2 linked regions of the Arabidopsis thaliana genome follow. The protein of the gene in region 1 purifies or fractionates together with the protein of each later gene. This does not show direct contact. Each region holds a gene or a part of one and is shown on either strand. Other genes may lie near its edges. The genes, in order: SYP21 and SYP51.

What was found.
Region 2: the proteins of SYP21 (region 1) and SYP51 purify together in Arabidopsis thaliana (affinity purification with western blotting; 2 studies listed by BioGRID, with this or other methods). This does not show direct contact.

What each region holds. Positions count from the first base shown.
Region 1 is NC_003076.8:5,532,057-5,537,238, reverse strand, and holds SYP21 (syntaxin of plants 21), read left to right. Parts: upstream 1-1,943; 5' UTR 1,944-2,086; coding exon 2,087-2,295; exon of another isoform or gene 2,296-2,646; coding exon 2,647-2,740; intron 2,741-2,943; coding exon 2,944-3,080; intron 3,081-3,308; coding exon 3,309-3,383; intron 3,384-3,645; coding exon 3,646-3,803; intron 3,804-3,901; coding exon 3,902-4,002; intron 4,003-4,097; coding exon 4,098-4,163; 3' UTR 4,164-4,393; downstream 4,394-5,182. Other genes in the region: BPA1 (binding partner of acd11 1), read right to left, coding at 146-215, 375-484, 1,192-1,197; HSF3 (heat shock factor 3), read right to left, coding at 4,742-5,182. UniProt on the Arabidopsis thaliana protein: May function in the docking or fusion of transport vesicles with the prevacuolar membrane.
Region 2 is NC_003070.9:5,554,114-5,558,828, reverse strand, and holds SYP51 (syntaxin of plants 51), read left to right. Parts: upstream 1-1,984; 5' UTR 1,985-2,195; intron 2,196-2,214; exon of another isoform or gene 2,215-2,378; intron 2,379-2,468; exon of another isoform or gene 2,469-2,483; 5' UTR 2,484-2,488; coding exon 2,489-2,703; intron 2,704-2,798; coding exon 2,799-3,004; intron 3,005-3,095; coding exon 3,096-3,196; intron 3,197-3,275; coding exon 3,276-3,320; intron 3,321-3,514; coding exon 3,515-3,646; 3' UTR 3,647-3,986; downstream 3,987-4,715. Other genes in the region: AT1G16250 (Galactose oxidase/kelch repeat superfamily protein), read right to left, coding at 132-705, 884-1,459, 1,614-1,615; AT1G16230 (Target SNARE coiled-coil domain protein), read left to right, coding at 4,505-4,715. UniProt on the Arabidopsis thaliana protein: Vesicle trafficking protein that functions in the secretory pathway.

The sequences.
Region 1 (5,182 bases):
TAAATACTCAGAGATACTTTGTCTGGACTAGAGAAGTATAACCATATTAAACGAAGGTTTATAGACATGGATTGATTACTAAATTAACAGTGTTATGTAAGAGTTGAATGCTACTACAATAATATTGAGATAAGAGTGAACCCACAGATAAGAGCACAGCAGTCTCTGCTCCTTGAGTTTCTTTAAATGTGACATAAGCACTATGCTCGTTACTGCTAGTTAGAAAAAGAAAACAAAAACAAAGCTCAGAGTCAGTAAGTTTAAGAGAACTGTATCTAAATTTGCTGAGAAAAAGCTTCGGAAGTTAATTGATCAAAAAAAGCTTTAAATGTCAAAATTTTGAAATCAAAGAACAAGGAAACAATATCACTAACCTTTGGATATCGATGCTTTCAACTTCACCAGAGAAAGAGAAAAACTCTTTAATATCATGCTCAGTTGCTCCTGAAGAGAGATTGCCAACTTTTACTGACCTTACCTGTGACTGTCATCATAAAGAATCAAAAGGGAAAGAATCATTAACGAAAACAATAAACAGGTGTTTCATGAGAATGTTTACAGTACAACTACTTTTTGTATCCAAGCATATCTAATCGACCGAAAGTCCCATTTTAATCAAATCAGCTCAAACTCAAAGAAGCCTAGATTTATCACAAGATTATACAATTATGCAAGTAAAGGGATAATATTATAGTGGCTTAGAAGATGACTGTCATCATCTCACTATACAAAAAGAAAACTCGAATGAACCATGAAGGCTACCAATTAAGGAAACTAATCGACAATGTATGGAGGAATCTAAAAGTAAATTGGCTAGCGAGATTCGGTTCCAAATTGAGAATAACACAATCGCGATTTACTACGATAAACGAAAACCAAAACCGAGAAATCAAGGAGATAATAGAGATAATTGCACGAATACAGATCACACAGAGATACAGAATCAATTAATAACGACAATAATAATCATCAAACTCGTCCAAATAGCATTGGAGATATTATGTCGGCAAGTGCAGCAATCAAACAACAGATCATCCAAATTGAAGAAGAAATCAAATCAATAGCCAAAAATATCAATCCTGAGAAAATTTCCCGATAAACAAATGGATCGCAACAATATCTACCAGCAGAGGAAACCTAAACCTTTTCCGCATAAAACAAAATTATACACAAAAAAAAAGTAGAGCATACCGCCATGGATGTTGATCTTCGAAGTCGCGCAGAGAGAGAGATATGTAATTTGTTGCTTTTGTCACGCAGATTCAGAGATTGGCCTGAAAACCGAAACGTACTTCGAGATCGATGATGCGTAGATAGATAGAGAGGGAAGAGTGTATTTTGCTTTATATGACACCTCACACTCAACGTGTGGGTTTGCGTTACGCCCTTTAATCCTATTTTAGTCCCTAATTGTTTCCAACAATTAATATTTTCACTTTTTTAGTATATATTTCTATTTTTTCCCTCTTCAGTTCAAAACAAAAGTTAGGAGTTTCGTAACACAATTATTAAGTTTATGTTTTATTAGAAAAAAATACATAAAAATTTTACTTTTTATCAACAAAAATATATCATTGTTTTTCTATAAAAAGTGGTTTATGTATCAAAGTGATTACTGTAATTATTAATTCAGTCATAAAATATGATAACTTGGTAATTACAAAAAAGTTGGACTTCTCCTTGTTTTTGGCCCAACTCTTCTCTTTTCCTTTTACTAAACTCCAATGTAGCCCAAAATCATTTAACCAATCCTTATCCTGCAAACCCACTCAATTGGTCCGGTTTACTCGAACCGAGTTTCAATTTTACACGGAAGGGCAGGTGAGGTCAACAACGACACGCAGGATTCTTCCCTCGCAATGGCGTGTCACCGCCAAATAATTTATACGTATTAATAAATTCCCTCCACCACCATATTCACGCGGACCACATGAGATTAAATGATTTATACAAATTATAAAACAAAAATTAACATTAAATTTTGGGAAAACTTATAATTCACCTAACTCATTTCCATCATCTTCGTCTTCGTTTGTTCCCCTGAGATAGAGATAAGAGAATTTCGAGAGATTCGAGAGAAGAGACGATGAGTTTCCAAGATCTCGAAGCTGGTACTCGATCTCCGGCGCCGAATCGTTTTACCGGTGGGAGACAACAGAGACCTTCGTCTCGTGGGGATCCATCTCAGGAGGTCGCCGCCGGGATTTTCAGGATCAGCACGGCTGTCAATTCCTTCTTCCGCCTCGTTAATTCGATCGGAACACCTAAAGATACTCTTGAATTACGAGATAAGCTGTCAGTAGCAATTCTTAATCACACTCTTCTTCTCTTTGTTAAATCTCTGTTGATTAGGGTTTTGGTTTTACTTATTGATTTTGGTCGATTTCATTTCAATTTTTAATTGAAAAAGTTTTCTAATTGTTTTGAAGCTAATCCTGCATTATTTTCCCTTAACCGAAGAACAAATTTGAGTTTGCTGATCGATGTGAGACAACATTGCAAATAATGCCTGACAACATTGCAAATAATGAGCTTTTTGTGTGTGTGTGTGTGTGTGTGTGTATTGAGAAATTGTTTTTTTTTTAGATTGGTTTCATCTATTTGTTCTGTGAATTGTTTTAAAGTGTTAGGTTCTTTTGTTGGCAGGCAAAAGACAAGGTTACAGATATCCGAATTGGTGAAGAATACTTCAGCTAAACTTAAGGAAGCTAGCGAAGCCGACCTTCATGGATCAGCTAGTGTAAGCAAATGCTTACTTTTTTGTTTCATTCCCTTACGATGCTATGGAATGTTAGTGTCTAAGAGAACATTTTCTATTGAACCAGTTTTATTTTGGTTTAATTTTGTCAGAATCGTACCATTTTATTCATTTAGTGGGAGAATTGTTTACATGATTGATGATATGTGTATTCTAGTTTTGATGTTATGTTTGTATTCTTGCAGCAAATTAAGAAGATAGCTGATGCTAAACTGGCAAAAGATTTCCAATCAGTTCTCAAAGAGTTTCAGAAAGCTCAGAGACTTGCAGCTGAAAGAGAAATAACATATACTCCTGTGGTCACAAAAGAAATACCTACCAGGTAACCACTTTGACCAGTTATGTTTCAATACCTGTTAAAAAACAGAAGATCATGGTAAATGAATCTCGTTGTTTCCTAAATGAGAAGAAAAAAAGTCTCCGGATTATATACTCGCATGTTATTATTGTTGTTTTGTACAAAAGAATTTTTGAACGTAGGATTGTTCTGATATTTTGTGGAATGTGAGTTTCACTTACACATGCTTCATTGTCATGCCACACCATGCAGTTATAATGCACCTGAACTGGATACTGAATCTTTAAGGATCTCCCAGCAGCAAGCTCTTCTTCTACAATCAAGAAGGTGAGGAGTGTGATTTGATTATATGCTAGCATGTTATTTTACTAATTCATTTGATCAATTATAAGCATAAACCAAATGTTAGTCTAGCATGCATTTTGCTCTCGAGAGTTCAAATTCAAACCATCGTTACACTTGGCACTCACTGTAGCCTGAATTGTTAATAGAAGCCTTAGAATAGGTTAATAAATTTTTCGAAGTTGGTTATGTCCCTGGATGCAGGGAGATGCTTGCTATTCGCTAACTTTTTATATTCTCATTCCAGGCAAGAAGTGGTGTTTTTAGATAACGAGATAACATTCAATGAAGCAATTATTGAGGAAAGAGAGCAAGGGATTCGAGAAATTGAAGACCAGATTCGTGATGTGAATGGCATGTTCAAAGATCTAGCTCTTATGGTGAACCATCAAGGAAATATTGTCGGTAAGTAACTCCAAACAATCAGAAATTGTAAATCTCCCTGTTCGTTTTCTCTTTGCCTTTTTAAAGTCTCAGAAAAAAACTATAATGTGCACTGGCAGATGACATCAGCTCTAACCTTGACAACTCACATGCTGCAACTACACAAGCCACTGTTCAACTCAGAAAAGCAGCTAAAACTCAAAGATCAAACTCCTCTTTGGTACGGACTAAACAGACTCTCTTCTCATTTTCAGTTCTGTGATTTCATATTCTTAGCAGCTTAAGCTAAGTTTGTTGTCTTTTACTTTGTTGCAGACATGCCTACTTATTCTCATTTTTGGGATTGTTCTACTCATTGTCATCATCGTTGTCTTGGTCTAAGCATCAAACATATAACTCCAAGCTTCAATCTTCAAGCATCAAGCGAATCTATGGAAACTATACAAAGACCCATTAAAGATATATATCTAATGTACAGATTCTTTATACTCCATCTTCCCCATTCAACCAAATTGATCTTAACTTCTCATCGTGTGAATGTTTAATCAATGTATTACTCCATCATAAGGATCTTCATGATCAAAAGAAATAAACATAAGAAAATAATCTTGATTTTTTGGTCATTAACCGGTCAGTGACCAACAGATTACCGTACTAGTGAGATGATAATTGAACAAGATGAACGTTTTCACACAAAAGTATAATATAAACAACACAAAAACCGATCTCTACTAACTATTCACAAGCTTGGTGGTAAATCTTTTATGTTTCTTCTCTCTGTTTTTTTTTCATTTAAGTAAAAATGTAAAGGGTATACACACCATCTGATATATTCCTCGTTCCTTCATATCTCCTTTTGCAACCTCCCCTGAAAATCTACATTGTGAGAGACAATTGATAACTCTCAAGATATACAACAATGCAGAGAAACATGTTTGAACTTAACGATGTTCTTACCTTTATTTCCTCTGTGCTTCTGAGGAAAGCAGTCCCATTTGTTCAGTAAGATACTTCATTTGTTGTTCATTACGGGTCCACTCGTTTGGTTCTTGTTCCAATACCAAGTCATTATTCTCCACTGATCCTGATAGAATATCGTCTGTATCTGCAATCGCTGGGAGTTCAACAGAAAAGAACTGTTCCCAGAATGGATCTTGGATTCCGGGCAGCTTAGGGACTCCCTCCAGTAACTCATTCATCTTGCCCTCACCTTCAGGAGAAATTGCATCGCCTTCTGACTCATCTAAAACAGCCATTATTGGATCAAAACACTCTCCACTATCTGTCTCGCATCCAACTAAATCAAATTCAGGGCTCCAAGAGTCTGCAGGTGCTGCTCCTTGAGCCGGACTTTGACCTATATTTGGCTGAACCAGACCAGCTTGAGGATGATGAGCCAA
Region 2 (4,715 bases), on another chromosome or scaffold:
ACAACAGAAGATATCAATGACAACCAAGTGCTTTCCATGGTTCCTTTTAACTACTTTTACATCTCACGATGCAACAATCAAAGAATTGAACATACCAATTTTATACATCAAGAAAGATTCTATCACCTTGGTTAAGGGGGAGAAGATTCTTCCAAGGATACACAACCAATGATCGACCCACCGGCTGGAATGCACATTGGTTTGGTCTCTCTCCAATTCAGAGGTCTATCCAAAGGGTTACATACCCTCACAACAGGCAATCTCACAATGTCAAATCTCCCTGCCCCTGATTCTTCCCATTTAAGGACCTTACCTCCTATAACATAGAGTTCATTCCTTAGAGCTGCAAACCCATAACCGAAGGCTTCTAACTCTCTCGGATGATTAGGAAGAACAACAGAAGGAACTGAACCAACATTGTACCATTCCCCTTCATCTGTATCCCTAGTCTTGATCAAGCTTTCTCCCCAATCTACAATAGTATACACCCGATCATTTTTCATCACCTGAACAGCAAACTGCATGGCTCTAGAGAAAGGCCAGACATCCTCCACAGTGGACCAAGTCATGTCTCGTGGATTAAAAACTTCAGATGAATTTTGCTCTGCAAATCCCACCTGGTCACTTAAAACATGAAAGCAGCCTCTGTACGATAACCCCGAGCAGTCCATCTGTGGTCTAGGCATTGCTGGTAATTCCTCCCACCTGCAATACTACTATGTCATACTCCAGTTTGATAGCTTTTCAGGTGAAACATGAGAAAACTTTTAAAACTATATCTTGACCCATCATAGAAAAAAACAAAAAGAGTACATTGTGGGGTTAAATATGCCAGTTCTATCCTACACGAGAATATAAACCACATTAGTGTGGGAAAAAATACCTATCAGCGACAGGATCATAAACCTCAGCAGATGGGATTCCCCTGGAATGAGTTAAATTACGACCTCCAGCAACATAAACCTTGCCAGAGACAGAAGTACAAGCAAAGTGAGTCCGTGGTGTTCGCATACTAGCAACCATTTTCCATTGTTTCTTAAACGGATCAAACCGCATGACATCTTTAGTGACAACAGGCTTCTGATGAGGAAACGATGACACCGAAGGCGCATAACAACCCCCAATCACAAGAAGACAATTGGAAACACAAACACACGCAAAACCAGAATGATGCCAACCATCTTGAACAGCTCTAGTTCTAGGCAATGGATGCCATCGATCAGCTTCAGGATCATAAGCAACCCACTGATTCTTAGAACGTTCCGTCAACACAAACAACCAGCTCCCTGACCATCCATTTCTAGCTTTATAGCACGAGTAATCAGCACCACGAACTAAATCTCTCCAGCCTCTGGAAACACATTCGAGCACTCCATGATACCCATGAGAAAGCTTCGCTATGCATCTCAAAGCCAAATCATCAGGCAAACCTGGGATTATAGACTGCTCGATTGATTCCCTGAAAACAAGTTTCAGCCACTAACGATCAGACTTATTCAATCAATAATCAACATTCAATGTTTTAAGACAAAACATGATTTTGAAGAGAAAAGGTAAAGGATTGAGATTTAGATTCAACTTTGTGAAGGAAGAACAAGAGAGCTAACACTTACATGAACCGAATCGTACTCGAGAGATTGTAAATGTATCTTCTGATCCCCTTCTCGAACTTGCTTTAGAACACCAAAATCGCGCTTCAAAGTTTATCACTTTCCCGGAAACAAAAACACCATTAACGATAATCGAAACGGAAACTGCAATCAGAACGATATAGTTATGATGGAACTAAGCACAGTCAGAGAGAAACTCAGGATTCTGGCAAGGAAGAGAGGAGACGGAAGAAACAGGCATGAGATGGATAGATCCATTATAATGGGTCGAAAATTTAAATATTCTTTATTGATCCCTTCATTTATATGTTCTTTCTGCTTCTTAACGCATACTTTCTTAAATAACTAATTTAACCCATAACTTTTCCAAGATAACAAGTTAAAACCGCGTCGTTTTATTTCAGCTTCGTCTTTATCTCATCTTTCTTGCGACGGGCCCTGCTACCCGGTGCGTGACAGGTTGAATCATTCTCCTCCGATTCACGGTGATTCCGGCGACTACAGACTCAACATTTAATAAGCCGATCTCTTACATGGTACGAGCTCGGACAAATTGAAGAATACAAAGGTCCGAGAAATAATTTGGTAAGCAATTCGATCCTTTAAACGATGTTATTTTTGTCAATCCGAGTCATTGATGAGGGATTATATCTGTTACTGAATCTCTCTGATCTTCCCCTGATAATGGACTTCATGATCCTGTAAATTTCAGATTTTGAGCCTTGTGCCTCAAAATTGTAGTCAAAGGCCGCGTTTTTGTCTCAATTTGTAGATCTTTGTTGTTGTTTCTGTTGGATCTTACGTATATATCCTTGATCATTTTAAAATTTCAATGGAAGTGATCCAGGCTTTGATTAGCTTTTAATTATATAGGAATAATGGCGTCTTCATCGGATTCATGGATGAGAGCATACAACGAGGCTTTAAAACTCTCTGAGGAGATTAATGGAATGATATCAGAAAGAAGTTCATCGGCTGTCACAGGGCCTGATGCTCAGCGTCGTGCTTCAGCTATACGAAGGAAGATCACCATTTTCGGTAACAAATTAGATAGTCTGCAGTCTCTTCTTGCTGAAATTCATGGAAAACCTATGTAAGCCATTTACTAGTCCAATCCTAATTGCTTAAATCTGTAAATTAGACACCTTTAAGGTTAGTGTTAATCTGAATTATTACTTACTGACACAGTTCAGAGAAAGAGATGAATCGGCGAAAGGATATGGTAGGGAATCTGAGGTCAAAAGCAAACCAGATGGCGAATGCTTTGAACATGTCAAACTTTGCCAATAGAGACAGCTTGCTCGGGCCAGATATCAAGCCGGATGATTCCATGAGCAGAGTTACTGGCATGGATAACCAAGGAATTGTTGGATATCAACGACAAGTTATGAGAGGTAAAACCTCTCTTATCCTAGTAAACGTAATACAGATGTTGATTTCTGTATTTGTTTTTTCCTATTGAATGTTTTATTTTCCTGTGAGTAGAACAAGACGAAGGACTTGAGCAATTGGAGGGAACAGTCATGAGCACAAAACACATTGCTCTGGCTGTTAGTGAAGAGCTTGACTTGCAGACTAGGCTTATTGTATGTCACTAGCTTTTCATTTTTTCGCCTTTGATTTGAATTTTCGGATACTAACACATTTGGATTTTCCTTTATGCAGGATGACTTAGATTACCATGTGGATGTTACTGACTCTCGCTTAAGGGTAATATATGCTTCAACTCTTAAATATTTCAACAAACTAATTACTTTGGTGAATCCCAAGCTTTAGTTGATCCATACTTTCATTAGGAGTAACACTGATGTAATGGTGATCTGTTTTCGGTTTGCTCAACCAAGAACCACATTATGCTTAAGCTAATGGCTAATTAAAGACATTGATCTGTTATCTTATTACAGAGAGTGCAGAAGAGCCTTGCTGTCATGAACAAGAATATGAGAAGTGGTTGCTCTTGCATGTCAATGCTCTTGTCAGTGCTGGGGATCGTCGGTCTTGCTGTTGTAATATGGATGTTGGTTAAGTATATGTAATACCAACATCAGACAACTTATAAGTTCCTCTGTAGGTCCACTGGCCTCTACTCTCTATGTGAATGGTTGCAATGTATTTCCTCATTCCACATTTGTGGCTGAGCTTTTCATTTCTCTTCTGTTACCAAAACCCTTTAAGTAATATATAATGTGTGCAGTTATCACAGTTTGCTCTTTGCTGTCTTCATAAAGATTTAAGAAGTGGTAGCAAGTCAAACACAGAGACAAAAAAACAAAAATTATCTGTAGAATCTTCCACGAAGAAACTTGTCTGAGTTTGTTATAAGAAGAACATTGTGGAAATTTTGTAAAACACCAATATTCATATCATCATCACTGGAAACAAAATTCGCAAAATACGTATCTGATCCTTCATTTTATACATGTGTACTGTTTCTTAATCTCTACATTTGTAAGAGGCAAAACAAGAGATAGTGTAATGCATGTTCCTTTTTTTATTTCGCCAAGAATTGTCAACGTAGGCCTACCTTTCTACGATCATATAAGTAATGGTCTCGTATTTAGAAGATGTCTTCTTTCGAAGGAAACTGCCGTCTGGCTGCGTGGCTACAAAGTCAGCACTCAGCAAGTTGATCTCTTTCTCAATGACAATGATGTATTATTTAAAGGTCCTTGGTGAGCAATTTGATTCTCTTTTAGAGATATATATGTTGCTGAATTGCTCCGATCTTCCTTTAATACATGTGCCAATACCATTATCGAAGTTGTTGCTTCTTGTAAGCTAGTTGGATTTTTGTTGTTCTTATTGTTGCATTTATATACATCCTTGGTAAAGTTAAAAGTTGTCTGAAAGTGATCTGTATTGGATTTTTGATTATGTAGGATTAATCAAAGTCAATGGCTTCTTTGTGTGATTCATGGATCAGAGAACAGAATGAGACTTTAAAACTCTCAGAGGAGATTGATGGAATGATATTAGAAAGAAGTTCACTGGCCGAAACATCATCTTATGCTCTACGTCATGCTTCATCGATGAGAAGAAAGATCACCATTTTGGCAACCCGAGTTCAGACTCTAAAGTATCTTCTTGCTGAAAGTCAAGGAAAAT